Struthio camelus: one gene and its partner. The protein of the gene in region 1 purifies or fractionates together with the protein of each later gene. This does not show direct contact. Links are inferred from orthologs where the notes say so. Each region holds a gene or a part of one and is shown in the gene's direction. Other genes may lie near its edges.

Region 1 (9,084 bases):
TCGCATTCCCCAGATAATTTTCTCAGTGTACTGCTTGTGCAGACTTTCTTCAGACGTACAAAGCTTTCCTCTGACTTTCAGTGACAGTTTACTCTTGACGTTACAAAGTCCTTTCAAAGTACTTGCTCTGTCTGGTGCCTTTGATGTAGACTGATGCACTACCTAGACTTACAAAGGTATTTCAGCACAAGCAGCAAACAAAAATAAGTTGTTGGTTTTTTTCCCCCCTACTTGGCAGCGTAACTCCCAGAGCACAGGGAGGCAAGCGTGGTGGCGGAGAATCAGACAAAAGCACTCGCTACAAAAAGCCCTCACCTCTGAAGAGCTTAAATGTCATTAGAGGACGTTTTAGCTAACCATGTCTTGATTCATCAAGCAGGCCGATGGAAAGAACCGCAGCAGCTTCATGCGGAGACTGCACCTTTTGGGAAGGGACATGACAGGTAGAGTTGTCAACCCTGCTTGGGTTTGGGAGGAACACGTAGCATGGAAACGAGCAGAAGGGGACGGCAGAAGTCAGAGATTCAGTTTGGCAGTGCAGCTCAGAGCTGCGCTCGGCTGTTCTGCTTGTAAGATCCTAGTAGGATTCCCCTTGCTAAAAAGAAAGCATGTGCTGACCGGTACGTGTCACACGATTCTCTTCACCACCACCTAGTGGGAAACTCCTTCATTACCCGAGCTCCAGCACTGCCCTCGCTCTCCAGCCTCATCCTCACCCTGGTGACGGAGAGTAAGCGAAGGAGGGACAGATGGATGAATGAGGAGGACAGAGTCCTGCTTCCCATAGAGGAAGAGTGCAGAGATAATATTGGTAATACCTAGAGATTACAGCCTATAATTTGTCCCCCTAAGCTGCAGCCAGTGCAGTCCCTAATGTTTGTTAGGCCTTAGCCCCATTCCCTGGGGAGACTTGCAAAGTGCCCTCTGCGCAGATGAGCATGTGAAACGTTTGTTCTTCTGGATGCAACTCTCCTTACTGCTCTTTGCAGGGTGCCAAGTTGGGAAGGTGCTCTAGCATCTAAATCAAAAGATAGCCTTGCTCTCTTCTTGCCTCTCTTTCGATAGTCCTAAGGTTGGTTATTCTGTTGAGAACGGGAGAAGGCTACCAACTAAAAATGCTTTGCTCCTCTGTAAAGACATATTTACTATTATAATCACGTATTTACAACAAGGACTACTACATGAAAGTGTTAAATGGGTATGTATTAGGAGTAGTCGAATCACATATTCAAGGGAGTCCTTCCCTGCTGCGATACTCGAGGTTCACACAAACAGCTGAAATCCAACCCTATGAAAACAACATACCAATGACAATTATCTGGGATTTTTCACTCTCCTGCATGCCACTTGGGGCCAAGCTCCCAGGGCACAAATAATAATCGGTTTTGGCACTTGTGTAGCTTTCTTTTCCTCAATCACAGAAATAGGGATGAACACAACGATAACAATAATTCTCACATTTCAAGGAGGGGATGATAGTAATGTCTTTCAGGCCAATAAAGCATTTGGCAGTCTCAGCTGGAGGAACCATAAAATGGCAAAGAATTATTAAAGGAACCACTTCTAAATACTTCTTTGGCCAATGGCAGTTTTATCACTGTATTCATGGAACTATACAGGCTCCCTCTGCTAGCAATTTTACTATAAAAATATTTAGTTTTTTTCTTTCTCTGCATGCTCCTTGAGGTCATGGCATTAGGCTTTATCCCAGTCAATCACTGTATTTTTCACTGTGTATACTTGATGGTGGATATAATTTAACAAATTAAAACACTGAAGATAACAATTGTATTGATACAAGAGTCAGGCTCTGGGAACCTCTAATCCACCTGCACTTCTGTTCACGTTACTCTGCTGCGCAACTATTTCACTTGGTTTGGCTTTCCTGTAATAAGCAGAATGCAGACCAATAGGTCTAAAATAAGAATAAAGTTCCTATTATATACCCATTTATACTTTCATGGAGTAGTCCTCATTATTTATTAATCCACAGTTCAACTACCTTATTACATGTTCTTGGGAGAAGGCAATCCATTGGAACAGTTTATCAAGGCAGACTATTATTTATCAATGAAGTAGAATGAAACAGGAAGAGAAGCCGTCCTTGCCTGGAAGCCTATTGGAGAATGCCAGCAACCCCGTTCTGTGATGCAGCTGTCACACAGTGTTACCAGACCGCCTACTACTTGAAGGGAAGAAACTTATAAAAATAAAACAAACAGACAATGTATTAAAGCGTAGGTAGGACAATGCAGATTATTTGAACATGTTTAAAGAATCTTTATTAAGCATGCCATTAAAATAAAAAACCTACAGAGCTCAGAATCCTCAGGTGTGATTATGATTACTAACCGATAGATTTCTCCAATCGGCATCCAGACCATTCTGTTAATATAACATTTTTCTTGAGCTTTCTATTAAGCTTACCAGTTTATTGTTGTAAAGCTGCTCGTGTCTTGTTACTGAAGTATTGTTTGAAGGATCTCGACCACCATATTAGTTATGCTTAATGAAAAATAAGTTTGCAGGAGGAAAAAATAATACAAAACCAGATACTGCAGACAAACATGAGAAAAGGCAGGTATCACTCGGGGCCTTCATACTTCAAAAACTACCTCTCCCTTACAGTTACCAGCATCATGTTATTCCGGGTGACTCGAGAATCAAGATATGCCCCAGTAAATTTTTGCAAGTAAGAAAATCAACAAAGCAAGTACAAAAAACAACAAAATCAACTGATATAGAATGCAAATGGGTATAGCAAAGCCAAATCCTTTTCTTTCAACTATTCCTTCTCAAGGCAAAATCCATGAGGCACAATTTAGATATAGGAATATATTGTTTGGATTATGGTACTCTACAATTTAGCTCTTGCTCTACTACTAGAACTATAATCTAGCTGGTTAAAGCTTTGCAGCTTCCACTCTTGACCTCTGCTATCCTTATTACCTCTCAGCAGGATATTGTGGCAGTTGTAATAATCTGAGAAACCCGAGCTTGCAGTCCTCAGTGTCAATATATAGAAAAGGGGTGCTGGTTAACCCATAGCAACAGTTTCCGTCCTACCTCCCACTTGTTCATTCTGACAGTTTAGCAATTTGTAACATCTGAGAAACACTGAAAAGCTCACTGGTTTCCTTGCACTGAAGAATCTGAATTAGATCCTTGATGGAGTGCTGAATCATTTGCTAGCATATCTGGTTTGGCAGGTTACAGTGAATGTAAAAATGACAGTGTAGACATTTTTAAGGAAAGTTTTTACCTCTTCCTTGGTTGTCCAGGCTCTTGGAGTTTAAAATGGGCAACTCCAATAGATCAAGGGAAAAAGACCTTCAAGGATAGAGTGATGGAGAAATTTACCTCTTCCTCAGTATTTGAAAGGTTTCCACGTTAAACGCAGGATTCCTCATGTGGTATCCAGTTGTAGCATCCTGTAGGTCCTAACAAACAGGCAGATGTTCATTTTTGGTTTTATAGCCTTTGAAGTTCATTGGTTTCAAGAGAGGCTGTTTTAAAAGCTTCAGCAGCTGAAGGCCTCCGGGGCAAGCAGAACCAAGAGGGAAGGGGCTTCTGGTACACGAGGAATCCTTAAAACCACATGATAAATACAGATAATTTCTTGATATATTTTTTTTCCTTCTTTACAGTTTCCCCAACAAATACTGCTGTTCTTTGTCTAAACTTCAGGATTTTTTTCCTGCAAGTGTGCAACAGAAGTATATATTCACAGAAAATAGACTGGACAGTCTATAAATAAAAACAATGTTAGCATTTTCCATCCCCTCTAGTTTAGGTAAACAAAATCACTGTGCACAAAGGCAGAAGTAAGTAACAAGACATGGCAGCATCTTCCCTGCCACATATTGCAGCGAGCTCACAATCTGTTGTCTCTGCATGCAAAATCCTTGAATTACAAGGATGCATCATGCTGAAACCATACATCATGGTTGGGTACTGTCATTACAATTGGTAATTACTGTTACCAGCCAGCACTGTTAGACTGTCTACTGGGGGGAGAGGGGGGGGGCGGGATGAGGAAAATTGTAATCAAAAATAAAATGTACAGAAATTGTATCCAAATATTGCTAGGACAATGCCAAAAAAGCTGAACATTTTTAAATGCTCTTTACTAAACCTGCTATGAACATAGTGAAGTATTTAGAAACTAAAGATCTTATTTTACATTAAATATTTTCACACGGACTCTGAATTGGTACTCCTTTTTAGGCAGACGGAGGGAGTCTGCTGGAGCCCCGTCTGAGCCTTTTCAGCTTCCAGCAGTGAGGGGAGCTGGCACTCGGGGGGCAGACGCCTCTGAAACGAAGGCCAACAGTTAGCAGCAGTCCTGGCTGCGGGGTCAGCCCAGCAGCAGCTTGCTGCGACTGCAGGGAGGAGGGCGCCAACCTGCCAAGGAGCTCAGCCCCTCCGTGCTGAGCCTGGCGAGCACGGCTCCCGCTGCCCGCGAAGGGAAAACCGGCCAAGGTCGCTCTGCAGCAGCGTCTTGGCCAGTGCTCAGTCTGGGGCCATCCTATGGGGATGGCTAAGCTCCTCTTAGCTTGGGCCTGATGGCAGTATATAAAAGTAGACCAGTAGTTGCTCCTAGGAAACCTCTGTTAAAACAACAGTTTTAAACCCTTCTCCCATCGATCACACAAGAAGAAATCATTCACACGAGACCCTTACACACCATCAAGCCCACACTTGCATACTAAGTTATTCCCTAGCCCCTTGAAGTAAACAGATGCATTCATATATTTGCAGATGAGAAAAGACCACCAGTCATCGCGGCCTCCCGACAACTCCAAGCAACGCCAGCCAAGCTGGCTAGGGTGTTTTAGAAAGTCACCCAAAAGGTGGGGGGTAGAACCAGAAAGCACAGCCGGCATCAAGAGGGGATGGAGGTAGATGCTAAACGGGAACCACCAGCCTGTCCAGGGCACTTCTCCAGAGAAGCAGAGCAATCGGAGATAGGGCAGGGACTTTCGGTGTGAACCAACACCCAGGGCTGCTCCTTATCGTGTGCTTGAATCATCAGCTCAACGGGGCAAGTCATGTAATCCCCCAAATTATGTGGGTACGCTCATCAATTAAACAATACATACAGCAAGTTATAAAGGAGGTACCAGTATTTGCATATCAAGGTACTCCAGCAAGCCAAAGCCAGAAGTGAAAAAGTCATTTAACACTCAATGCTGTGCCGTAGAAGTCAGCTGGAGCTCCACAACACGCCGTGAGTCTTGGGAACTTCCCTGTAAACCCAGCAGTTGCACTGGTCGGCCGGGGGGGTGGGCAAAGGCGAGCGAGGCTGCCGACGCAGCCGTCTCCCAGGGCCAACGCCTTGGCAGGGGCTGGTTGAACCTCTCTGCTGCTGGAGCTCTGCGTGGGCTCCACAACCTCCCACCAGCAGCACCTTCTCCTGCACAGGCACCGCCAAACCCACCCCTTGCTTTTGGCTACTCCGCCTCCTTCCTTCTCCAAAACTAATGGGGCCAGAAATGAGCCATGTTTTTTCCCCGTTTTCATTTCCCTACTTTTCTTTCCGTATCTTTTTCTTTTCCATGCTGGCAGACCTTCTACCCCTCCGTTTTCCTCTCCTTCCCTCCCTTTCCCCCTCCCCCTGCTTTCTCTCCCTCTGCACTTTGTGAACTGCTGCTGCCGTGCTGAAGTCCAAAGTTCAGTAACTTGCTAAGCACACAGATAAATATGAACCTTGGAGAATTTACATTGCTCCAATGTAAACAGATAGCCAAGGGTCCCTTTATCAGCACCGGCTCAGGACAGTCGTGGGGGGTCTGAAGTGGCTCAATTTTGTATTTTGTTTTTTTGGGGGGGGGGGGCGTAAAGGCGGGAGGCTGCGCTGTGCCCACTCTGCCGACAGTCAGGCGCGTTACCTCGGGAACATGGTGTAGGGAAGCTGGAGGCAGGATAAGCTGAAATTCAAACCCAAGAGGCACGAGGCTGAAGACCATGGTCTCGAAGCTGAGTCACCTTCAAGTGGAGCTGCTAGGAGCGCTGCTGGAGTCGGGGCTGACCAAGGAGACCTTGATCAAGGCGCTGAGCGAAGCGGAGCCCTACGTCCTCCAGAGCGAGAGCCAGCGCGCCATCCATGCCCTCCAGACAGAGAAAGGGGACTCGTGCCCCGAAATCCCCGCTCTCCCCAACGGCCTGGGGGAGGCCAGGTTATCGGAAGATGAAACCTCTGATGATGGGGAGGAATTTACCCCTCCGATAATGAAGGAGCTGGAGAACCTGAGCCCTGAGGAGGCTGCTCACCAGAAGGCTGTGGTGGAGAGACTATTACAGTAAGGACACGTTTGCTGCTCCTCTTTGCTGCTCTTTCTTGTATTCTCTCCCTCCAAATCTCTTTCCTTTCCCCTTCCTTTCTTCCTACCAGCGTCCCTGGTATTCACAGCTGATCTAACCGCACAGAGACTGTCTTCATCCATGCCAGGACTAGCAGCCCCCCAAATTCTTTGCAGATGCTCAAACTTGTCTTTTGATCACACTTCCAATGCGTAAAGGGAGCTATGGAGCCTGATTGCACATTAGAAGTGCTCGTATCATCAGGAAACGGGCGTCAGAGCACTCCGAGGCCTGGACACCCTGCATCTCTCTGACTAAACGTTAATTTTTATAGGAGTCACAGATTCTGTCATCAAGGGAGAAAAAAATAAAAATAAAAGCAGCCCATAAAAATCTGGTCTCTGTTAACTGGCCTCGCAGTAGTCTTAGAAATTATGGTAGAGAGTTTTAGTTTTTCCTGCTATTTTTAAGGAGGTTAAAATTTTTTTTACTGGCTTTTCCTATAGATGTTATTTGTCAAAGATAAACCAAGAGAGCTTGTTCCTGTCTTTCGTGCATGTGCGAAATTCTCCTGACTTCACTGGGGATTTTTCTTGTAGAAAGAGCAGAAACCAAATATACGCAGAGGTTAGAAAGAACTCGCTATGCTCCTACCCTCCGCCGTCTGCCGTAACTACAGAGCACACATAGGAACAGTTACAGGTTTTACTGCCACAGAAATTTGCCTTTGCATGCAAGCATTAAGTCAAAAGACAGGAAGAATCCCCTAAACCAGCGAGTCTCATGACAGGCCCAGAGAAACATTCACCAGGACTCACGTTTGGGATTCTTACTGGGGTGCAAGCCCTAATAACCACCCTCAGAGGTTTGTCCAGGCGAGGATCAGGTCCTTCAAAGCCATCTAGCCCAACAGCAGCAGAATACTGCCCCTCCGTTTTGGAGGTACTCTGAAACCACAAGCTGTTGGGAGACACGAGATGCAGCACCGTCCTGCATTTCAAATCTTCACTAAAACTAAAATCCAGTTAGAGAATTTGTTGGGCCTTCTGATTAATCCTCTTCACGGTTAAAGGGAATTAACAAAGTGCAACAATAAGAGGCAAACATCAAATCCCACTACAAAAGGCCAGAGCTAGAAAAACAGCATGACAGGCGTTAACATTCGCTGTAAATATTTAAGAGAAGAGCAGCTGGGAGCTGATGTCTATGCAGTTCTCAATGGAAGAAAATTCACAGGATCAGCTCTTACCTGGGAGGGGAAACATTCCCAATAATTCAATCTTCTTTTTGGCCCCAAAAGTCTGCCTCTCTTTTCTTCCCCCCCCCCCCCCCAGCTCTGCTACATCTCCTCTTCCCCGTACTGTTGCTCTCCCATTCTCTTTACCTGTTCCCTTTTTCTCCTCACTTTTGTCTCTGCCACTAGTCCTCCCATTTTGATGTCTTCCTGGCTAATTCTCTCTCACATCCTTCCTCACTCTTTTCCTTCCCCTCATCCTTGTCTCCTTCTCTTCTCCCTGAGTCTGCGTACAGGTCTTGGGGTAGTTTGAGCCCAGTGGCACCGGGCGGGCCCTGGCTAGTTACTAATTATCCAATGGCTTTATTATTTCTCTTTTGTCTTATAAATTTATAGATGAAAAGACCCTGATAAGCTTTTTGATCATTAACTTCTGATGGTTTATCAGGTATCTCTCCAGAAAGGCAGCCATGTAGGTGGAAGAGGAGCACCCGGCTTTGTCCCACTCTGTAATGAATGGGTGCAGCAGGGCTGAAGGGCCGCCTGCCGTAATCTGAGAGCAGACTCACAGACAGAAGGGGCTCCTTCCTGCCACCCTCGCTTCACCATGAATTCCAGTTTCTGATCCTCCCTGCCTTTCCAGGAGCTGGCTACCAGCCTCTCCTGTGCTTCCTACCAGTCTCAGCACAACACTCTTACCTACCTTGCGTGCCTGCAGTATTATTTATGCTTTCCAATCAATGGTCTCCCTTCTAGATGGCCAACTGAGCAGCATTCCCATTTTACAGAAATGGGAACTGAGGTACAGATTCTCTGACTCATCTAAAGACCCCTAGGACAGTGGCGAGAGGATTGGGCAAGAGCCAGGATCTCTTAAGCCTTGTACTGGGTCTTAACTGCAACACTTTGTTCTGAAACCTCAGGGCTTGCTTTCTTCAGTCCTCAATGTCACAGGATACATCAGTTCACTTCTGCTGTTCAGGGCAGTATAAAGGGAACCAGAAGCCACCCAGTTACAAGTGTCCTTATGGGGGGATATAATGGACCAAAACTATTTGAGGTGGAATGGAGAGAGTAGGAAGCCCATATTGACAGTCTTCATATTTCTGGTCAAAGACTTAAAAAAAAATCAACTGTATATCTGGGAAGTATATTCAAAGCATGTCAATACCAGGGTCTGATGGTACATAAACAGTAGCTACCAACTAATACATACTGGGTTTTTTTTGTTTTTTGTAAGAACAAACCTTTCCATTAACAAACACCTAAAGGTAACGTCCTTAAAATAGTGTTACAAATAAGCGTAGATACGGGAGAACAGTCTTTAACAGAAATTACTCCCAGCAGCAGATGAAAGGAAGGAAGGCAAAAAAAAAATGATCTCCAAGCACAACTTCAATGCTTGCAAAGCTGTTTCAGCATCTACACAAGCATTTCAAGTCTTTGAGAAACCAGATGGAGGCACTTTTACCTCTAAGCAGAAGCATTGCTGGGCACTATTAAAAAGTCCTGGACTAATACTGTAGACCACATTTTAGGAGAGGGAT
Region 2 (9,151 bases), on another chromosome or scaffold:
AAATGCCTGGAGCTGCTGTTTTCTGTGCCCATGCTGTAGAGGGCCTGAAAGGAAGGGGGGGGTCAGAAGACAGAGTGAGAAAACATGTTTTTTAAAAAAAAAAAAAAAAGTATTTAGTATTTGTAGTGAATGGGACTTGAGCTGAACTCTCTCTGAATGCTGCTTTTTATTTTCCTGTCTAACCTCTAGCTGGCTTCCCTTTCCTCACGCCGGAATGACTAGTTTACCCATGGGGCACTTTTGATATTTGGCCTTTTTGAAGCCTGAAGCGATTGCGGGCGATAACATCCCTTCGGCCTCGTTACTCGGGTCGCCTCCCCATCGCCTAGCGCGGCCCGCCCTGCGGCAAGACGTGAAAACACCGTGAGCTGCAGGAGGAAGAAGAGCAACTGTCAGGCCCAAGTAACTTTCCTGATAAGCAAACTTAAAGAATTACTTCCCTGGGCGAGAGGAGGGGAGAAAAAAAAAAAAAAAACCACCCCGGGCGTCTCCGCGCCGCGGCCGCGGCCGCCCCGCCCCGACAAGATGGCGCCAGCCCCGCCCCGACAAGATGGCGCCGGCGCCAGCCCCGCCCCGCCCCGCCGCGGCGCTGCGCTGCGCTGCGCGCGGCCGTCGTGCGCCGGAAGCGGCGGCAGCGGCGGCGCTGAGGCGGAAGCGGCCGTTGTCCGGGGAGACGCAGCGCGGCCGGGCGCCGGGAGGGCCGCGGCGCGGCGGGGATGTGGCGGCTGGCGCTGACGCTGGCCTGGCTGAGCGGCGCCGTCCCTGTAGGTGAGGCCGGAGCGGGGGGCGGTGGGCAGCGGTTCGGGGCCGATCCCGGTCCCGCTCCTGCTGCTGGGAGGTGGAAGCGGCGGCCGTGGCCTGCCCGGCTCCGTCTCTGACGCCTCTCTCCCGCCGCAGGAGGCGCGGCGGAGCCGGGCGGCCGCTCTCCGCCGCGCCACGCCGAGGGAGGCTCGCCGCCGGGGGGCGGCCGGCCGGCGCAGTACCGGACGGCGGAGATGGCCGACGCGATGCTGGGCAGCGGGCTTCCCGCCGAGCAGCCCGGGCTGCTCTCGGTGCTCCCGGCGGAGCCGAGGGACGGGCCCGCTCCCGCCGCGGCCAGCGGCGCTTGCGAGGCTGCGGCCGGCGGTGGGGAGTGCGGCGGCCCCGCGGCCCCCTCGGCTCAGCCTGGCGCCCAGGGCCGCGAGCTGGCGGCGGGCTCCCCGGTCGTGCTGGAGACTGTGCTGCCCGCGCCGGCCGAGGAGCCCAACGGCACCGAGGGCGCGAAAACGCCCAAAGTGAACTGCGAGGAGAGAAACGTCACCGGCGTGGAAAACTTCACGCTGCAAATCCTGAACGTTTCTCAAGTAAGCAAGCCGCTCGGTGCCCCGCTTCGTGCCGCTTTGAGCGGCGGTGGTGAAAGATGCGATGTCCGTGCGCTGCGTAGGTGTCTTTTGCGCTTCGACTTACTGAATTGCTTTGTGTGAAGTTCTGTGCGTTTAATGATTGTCTGAGCAAGAAGGCTTTTCAGTCTTTCTGAACAGAAATATTGGAGGTGCAGCTCAGTCCGCATGCCTGTGCGTGTGTCTGCCACGTGTGTGCCCGTAGTGAATTGTCAGCTTGCACGGTGGGCAGGTTGGTGTCTCTCTGAAGTTATTAACGACGCTTATTCCTAGTGATAGTGTCTACTTCCGTTTTATTTCTTATAACGGAGAGAATTTTAATTTTAAAAAAGCATTAAGTATGCAGCTACTTGAGAAATGCTGTCAACTCTAACTGCTTGCTGAATGATCCCTTCTGTTGTGCAAGAACTCTTAAATGTTTAATTGTTTGTGTCTGTGTTTGTTCTGCTTTCTCTAAGGATCTGATGGAGTTCTTAAACCCAAACAGCAGTGACTGTACGTTAGTGTTGTTCTACACACCGTGGTGCCGCTTCTCTGCCAGTCTAGCACCTCATTTTAATTCCTTACCTCGAGCATTTCCAACTCTTCGCTTCCTAGCCTTGGATGCATCTCAGCATAGCAGGTAATTCAGGCTTTCTATGCTCTCTTCTCAGTTTATTTCCAATAGCAAGTTTTGAATTTTAAAAACAGGAGTGATTTTTTTCTGAAGCTGTTTAATATAAATGGTTATTTGCCTATTTTATTTTTGGCTGTGCTGTTAGCATGTTTTTAGCACTTGACAATTTTACCGTAAACGTGCAAGAAACATATTACTATCTCAGTAGGTATAATTAAATTGATAACTGTGTTCTGCTAATTCATTTTGGGACTTCATTAGTCAGAAGAGTGTTACGTATCCTCCACACTCCAGTATATCCTCAAATAACAAGGCTAAGACCCATACAATACATGTGTTTATGGTGAAATGACATGCTGATCCAGTGCTAAATCTTGCGTTGTTGACTAATTCAGCAGTAAAGCGTTTCCCTAATACCACAAGAAGGTGGTTGTATGTTGTTTGTTATAAAGTGACAAATTATAATAATAAAATTGTTATTGCCTTTATTGTGATCTCTTATTTCTTTCTTCAGTGGATTTATTTTCCCTCATATCTTATGTTTGCTTTGTGTCCATCAGTTTATCAACTAGATTTGGAACTGTGGCTGTACCCAATATCCTCCTTTTCCAAGGTGCTAAACCTATGGCTAGATTTAATCATACGGAGAGAACACTGGAAACACTGAAAGACTTCATTTTTAATCAAACAGGTATGTAAGTCAGCTCTGATGAAGAACAGGAATAGAAAGAACAGGATTACCTCTTAGCTCCAAACTGAGCTTTTCTCTCCCTATTCTTTCTTATTTTAAATAAGTTTCGTGAAGGCCCTGAGGGGACCACCTGCAGCAGAGGTTCATTTAATCGCTTGCTTTAGTGAGTTGGATTTCAGGGCATGCTAAAAGCAGACACTCAACACACTGCTGGAGGAGACAAAAGGATGATCTGTCTGTCCTCACTGTGAGCTCACAGTCAGACAGCTTTCTGGGCTTTCTGTGGTGTATTCTCCTGGGGGGGGGGGGGGGGAAGTATCTGGGCCAATGACGGCCTTCATTAGAGGCCAGGAATTGTTATATTTGCTAATGTAGCAAAAATACCAACCCCTTCCCCTCACCTCCTTAAAAGAGCTTGTGCTGCGGAAGAACAGAATGAACCTTTTCCAGTATCACAGTGTTAAGAAAATACACGTATACGTTGATAGGCTTTTAATTCCACATGAGTAAACTATATGGTAGACACCTTAAAATATAAGGACTATCTCACCAAAATTCTAAGTCTAGCTGTGCATGCACCTTAATTTGAGAACAGGAAAAAGTTCCAACTTATTTGTATTAAGTAATTATTATTGATGTTGATTAAGTGATTCTCTTTTCAGGAATAGAAGCTAAAAGGGATGTGGCTGTGACTGAGGAAGACTGGGAAGGCCCTCTGCCTAGTGTTCTGACAAAAGGAATAGATTGGCTGCTCCTGTTCTCTTTGCTCTTTCTGGCTAGCTTTATTATGTACGCTACTATTCGAACTGAGAGCATTCGGTGGCTAATCCCAGGACAAGAGCATGAACATCAAGAATAATTTGAGATGCTGAAACAGGGACAGGATTTCTTGCTTATTTGTAAAGCAGGAATTTGTATGGACTAAAAGTATGAATGTTCAAATATTCATATTCAAATGAACTGTTGAATTTGTTGGTTGTAATTTATAATCTTGACTGAAAATCTGCTTTTTTATCAACTACTGAATTTGTAAAAGGCAAACACATGATGGTTAACATGGTAAGTAAACAAATATGAAAAGATATTAACTAAAAATGTATTTATTACACTGCTAATTTGCTTATTTTTAATGTACCTTAATGTAAATGTGATACAGTTCTACTTTGCTCTTAAGAGAGGTCCCTGTGCTTTGTAGATCAATTAAGAGTTCTACAGCGTATTTGCTTGTATATGTGGCATTGCTTGGCAGAGGAGTAGAGCTGCTTCCATTCAGATGGAATCTGGGAATCTTCTTTTGTAAAACCCACAATTTCTGTATGGATGACGCAGTATATACAATGGAGTTGGGATGTGTTGACCCACGCAGATCATACTCATTTTCTGGCTTAGGTATCCCTGAAATAGTAAAGTGTTAAGGGATACGTTAGTCCAGGGTGGTGGTACTAAATTAGTTTGATTGTCGGGAAAATGAAGAAAAAGGTGCTTTAAAAATGAGCGTACGTTGAATGATTTCATTGTCTAAAAAGACAGTATGTATTTGCTTTGCGCTTCTGGAGGCGGTCATACCAGCAATAATAAAAACTTAAAAACTTGTACGATTCAAGTCAGGATGACTATTTCCCACCTTTGGTATTGAGATTAGATGCTGTTTATCTTGTTTACTCTGGTCCGTGAGTTCTGAGTAACAGTTGGACTTGCGACGGTGATTCTTCATGAGATTTAGAATAACTTCTAAAGCTCAAGCCGTTGTGTATATGTGTGGGAGTGGGGGTGTATAACGTATATAGCACTTTCATATGGAATTAAATTGCATTTGTGAGCTTTACCTTTAATGAATTGGGTTTTTAGCCTAACTTTTAAGTCGCTTGCTCACAAGACTACAAACGCAGCTTTTGAAGTATGGATCACCAACCTGAATTAGTGAGACTAGTTTTCAGATTTATTTGCATTTATGCTAACATGTTTGCTTGGTTGGAAAGTCTGCAGCTGAGACTACATAAAGAATTGATCCAGCTTTTAGTGGTCACTAATATGGAAGACCTTGACGAAGGTACAGTCTGCTATATTGCATGTTTTTTTTGATTATTTGATGGCATAGCATTTATGTGTGTAGCGCAGGCTTGCTCTAAAACCCTGGTATGAAGCTTTACAGTGGAAATTGAACCAAGAAGGAACAAGTACAGTGGTAAGCTGTGTTGCTTAACAGAGGACTCCTATTCCTACAAAATAGTTCTTTTGTTGTTGTTTTCCATAACTTTCCAGAGAAGGAAGGGTCAGTTCCTTTACTTGTGTGTGTTAAATGGCAACTGCACTGATAAAACTTAGATATTATTGAGGATAAAGTTAGAAAGTGTTCTTTTTAGTAAGACTCCAGATTTTGAGGGATGAACTGGAGAGCTCTTTCCTCTTAGCATCCCTGTGGCTTCAGAGGCGCAAGGGTGGGTTCTCCCCGCCACTTATCTCCCTCGATACCTACAAAGAACGAGTGAGGCCTTTAAAAAGAAAATCCTGCCGCCTCCGCTGTGAGAAGTGACTGTTTCAGCGCCGTCCTTGCGGAACCGAAAGCGGATTTCCTTGGACGAGCGGCAAGCGAAGCCCCGCAGACCGGCCCGGAGCGGGGGTGGCGAGACCCGCGCTCGCTCGCGGAGGCGCCGCCTCGCCTGCGCCCTGGCCGGTGGCGGCGGGGGGGGGCGCGGGCTCCGCCCGGGGGCGGGGCGGGGCGGGGCGGGGCGGGGGCGCCGCCATGCCGGGCTGCGGCGGCGCCGGGCTGCGGCGGGCGCTGCTGGGAGCGCGGCGGGCGGCGGCGGCGGGCGGCGGCCGCGCCGCCATGGTGAGGCGCCTCGGGCGGGAGGGGGCCGCGGGCGGGGCGGGGGCGCCGGGCTCCGGGGCGGGGGGCGCCGCCGCGCCGGGCGGATCCGCGTCTGAGCTGGGCTTTATCTCGGCGAACGAGCCCCCCCCTCCACCCGCAAGCTGTGCGTTTCAGCAGAAAAATTCCAATTTGTCCTTTTTTATTGTTATTTTTTACACCCAGCAATAACTACTTGCGTATGCCAGTTTAGGCCGCTGCCCCTCAAACGCCCCATATCCTGTGCTAACCTCTCAGCAACTAACTTCATTTTTTCGTTCTCTGCTCCCCGAGCCCCTTTCAGGTGAACGTTACCCGTCGGAGCCGTGGGGCGGGTGCCCGGTGGGCCGCGGCCGCCGTCCCTGCCGCCCGGCTGCGCTCCCCGACCTGGTCGGCTATGCTCCGTTACGCGGCCCCTACGGAGGCGTTACCCTGAAAACGCACGTGGCACCTCATACTTTCTTTTTCTTCTTTTAATTGACGTTACTTCCTACTGCGTTTGCTGAAATCTCCGAACGTGGTTGTGACGCGCTTGAGGGAGTAACGCGGAGCACGGCCTTCGCGGTTTACGCCTAACCGAGGTGCTGTGCTTGCTGTGCCCCCGGTCCTGTGTCAGACTCCGTCCTCGCGTTTACGCGAAGGAACGTGTGATCTAACTGGAAGTCACGGCGTTGTCCCTGTGGCTTCTGTGGCCGAAATAAGGCCTCAGGAAGGCAACTGAAGCGTGTTTAAAACTAACCAAACAACATCTCTGCTGACAACCGGGAGAACGAACTTTGTACTGACTCCTGGTCCAAATCCTGGGCTCTGCTGTCTAAACCAAAACCGCCCAGAGCTTTCGTAAATCATCCTACTCGTTTCGCCTCTTGGCGGATAAAATAATAAATGTGAGGGCTGCTGTTAACTGTGGCAGTATTTGCACGTGACTGGGGAAAAGGCGAAAAGAAATTCAAACCCACAAGGTGTTGTCGTAGCAAACTAGCCGGTGAACAGCTGCTTCTTTATTCTTGCACATCGCGAGTTTTATTCTGAAGAGCAGCCGTCCTAAATTAGTTCGGTGTGGGGACTGTAAAGCCCACGTGCTAGAGCGATATATATCCTATTGAACCCGAACAATTGTAGCGACGCTGTTGGAGTGACTTCAGACTGCTTTTATTTATTTATTTATTTTTTTTTGGGTCCCTTATTACTGGTGAAAATTTTGCCTCTTGGACATCACCGAGGCCTCGGCAGGTCGCTCCTCAGCGATGCCTGCGCCTTTGCTGTTGTCCTCTCAGGGGCGAACACCTGGTGGTGAAGAGCAGCCTCAAAGGCCTGGCCTCGGCCAGCACCGGGAGCAGGAGCTTGCGCTCTGGTTTGGCACGCAGCACCACCTGGTGGCAGAGGGATGGCAGCAAAGCCGCGGCCGCAGACCTGCCTGCGCATCGCGCTGCCTGCTCGGAAACGCTCGTTGTACGCCTTCGCGCTGTCGAATGAGTCTGTAAGTGCAGGGCACAAGAAAGTGGCTGGAGGTTAAAGACTGGCACTCCTGTAAGGAAATAACTGCGCGTGTAACTGCCAAAAAAAAAAAAAAAAAGCAAAAAAAAAAAAACTTTCAACGGAAGAGCTTTGCTTTTAGATACTTGCAGACCTTCAGCGCGTTATTTGAAGTCCTGGTGCAAAGTTGCTCAGCGGCTTTCAGTAAGGTTTCACCTAATTGTGATAGCCTACGAATATTTATAAAGGCTAAAGCAAACTGAATTTTGCTCTACTGGGGAGAAAACTTCTTCCTGTTAAATTATTGCATTTATAAAGTGAATTTGAGACCAGTCTGTTAGAATAGACAGTCTGTAATTAGTCACTCATACATTTAATCTCAGTTTCTAGGAAAAATATCAAACCTCTTCCAAATAACCTGTAGACCTTTCTGTCTTCAGGCCTACTTTTTTAAGCACCGATTTAGATATTTAAGCAGGTAGTGTAATCCGTTAAGTCTGTGCTCCCATTGGGTTTAGAAGGACTCATTTTGCTGAAAATTGGACATATGTTTAAGTGCTTTGTAGACTCAAGTGCTTGTATCAACAACTTCTGACTGCATGTGTTTGTATATTCATTTTTTTTTTGTTTTGTCAGTGAAAAAAACCTTTCTATTGCTTTTAGACTTCTGTAATGCTTGCTATTTGTAAATCTATTCTTAATTCCTTAGGAAGAGTAAAATACAAGTTACCTGTAGTACAATCTCATTTTATATGCTGTTTCTCTGTTTCAAAATACAGATATTTCCCTGATATATCTCTTCTAGCCTCATGTAATTGTACATTTAGTGCATAATATATGCAATCTCTTAACTACATGCATTTTGCTATGTATGGAAATGAATTCAAGTGTCATAGCATCTGGATAAATCAGATGAACAAAGTATAGGATACAAGTATGCTGGTGTCCATGTTTGGTCTCATAAAAGAGTCTATCACTCCTCTATAACGCTATGTGAAAACATATAGCCAAACTTAATGGACCAAACAGAAACGATGTTTCTTGGTGGTTTTGAGTAATGTGAATTATGCTGATCTGTGAAATTCTAAAAAGTAACAAACCATATAGTGAATTTTCCACCTCTTGTTTCTTGAACTTTTACATTTCTACAATACATAACAATACAATACATGTGGTTTTCTTCTTGTTGTATAAAAGAGAACCTCAGCCTCACTTGTGGAATGTTTCTTTTTTTTTCTTCTTTTTCCCCTTAATAGTCTTCGCAGTCTCACTGGTTGACAACAGAGGAAAGGAACCAAGTTTTACTTGATCTTAAAGCTTCAGGCTGGTCTGAGTTAGGTGAAAGAGATGCCATCTACAAAGAGTTCAATTTCAAAAATTTTAATCAGGTAATTATTGTTATATACCACTTTTAATATAAAGGAAGCGTAAGTACTTTAATTTCCATATGATCCTGATGGGAAACTATCTATATTCAGAAATTTGGGAGCGTCCTTTTGAGGCCAAACACTGTTGGACTTGCTTATGTGGATTGTTCTCTGATTCTGATCTCATTAGGTGGAGTAAATAATTCCAATGCTGTAGCTGTATGGTAGGTTTATTGTAATACTACAGTTTCTTAATTGTAATATTGGGGTCAAGGTGGGGGTCGGTACTATGGGATTAGACAAATAATATTTGATCTTGTTGGTTTTTTTAATAGCACTCCTGAATTAATGGTAGAAATACTTAGCTGTTGGATGGCATGGTTCATTTTTGTCTGGGAAGAGCTTGAAAAAGATGAGTAAATGTAAGAATAGAAACTTTTGGGAAATAAGGGGGGGAAAGTATGATAAGCTTCACCTCCTAAACAGGAAGGCAGAGTTCTGATACGTTTCTGAATGAATTGCAACAGCTAATCTTGCGCTGTCTTTGGTACAGTGGATTATTGGTTAGGCCTCGTTAGGTTTATATTTGTAGTCGGAACCCTGAGCCATAATACAAACTCTCAAGAACATGTCTTGGAAACCAGTTGCAAGCTTGCTTTGAAAATATTGACGTTTTCTCGAGACTTACGGTCAGCTACGTCCTAGTTAGTTAAATATTTATTTCCAAGAAAGCTGGACTTCTGATGAGTCAAGAGACTACTTGAAAAAGTCATGTCT

The links.
Region 2: the proteins of HNF1A (region 1) and PCBD2 purify together in Homo sapiens (affinity purification with mass spectrometry; 4 studies listed by BioGRID and IntAct, with this or other methods). This does not show direct contact. The link is inferred for Struthio camelus from reciprocal best matches to the Homo sapiens genes HNF1A and PCBD2.

Annotation. Positions count from the first base shown.
Region 1 is NC_090958.1:8,142,654-8,151,737, forward strand, and holds the start of HNF1A (hepatocyte nuclear factor 1-alpha), read left to right. Parts: upstream 1-5,628; 5' UTR 5,629-5,967; coding exon 5,968-6,302; intron 6,303-7,552; exon of another isoform or gene 7,553-7,825; intron 7,826-9,084. UniProt on the Homo sapiens protein: Transcriptional activator that regulates the tissue specific expression of multiple genes, especially in pancreatic islet cells and in liver. Binds to the inverted palindrome 5'-GTTAATNATTAAC-3'.
Region 2 is NC_090954.1:4,203,132-4,212,282, forward strand, and holds the start of PCBD2 (pterin-4-alpha-carbinolamine dehydratase 2), read left to right. Parts: upstream 1-5,440; 5' UTR 5,441-5,513; coding exon of another isoform or gene 5,514-5,516; intron 5,517-5,846; exon of another isoform or gene 5,847-6,149; intron 6,150-6,808; 5' UTR 6,809-6,918; coding exon 6,919-7,011; intron 7,012-8,263; coding exon 8,264-8,395; intron 8,396-9,151. Other genes in the region: TXNDC15 (thioredoxin domain-containing protein 15), read left to right, coding at 717-768, 898-1,343, 1,838-2,001, 2,556-2,686, 3,349-3,545.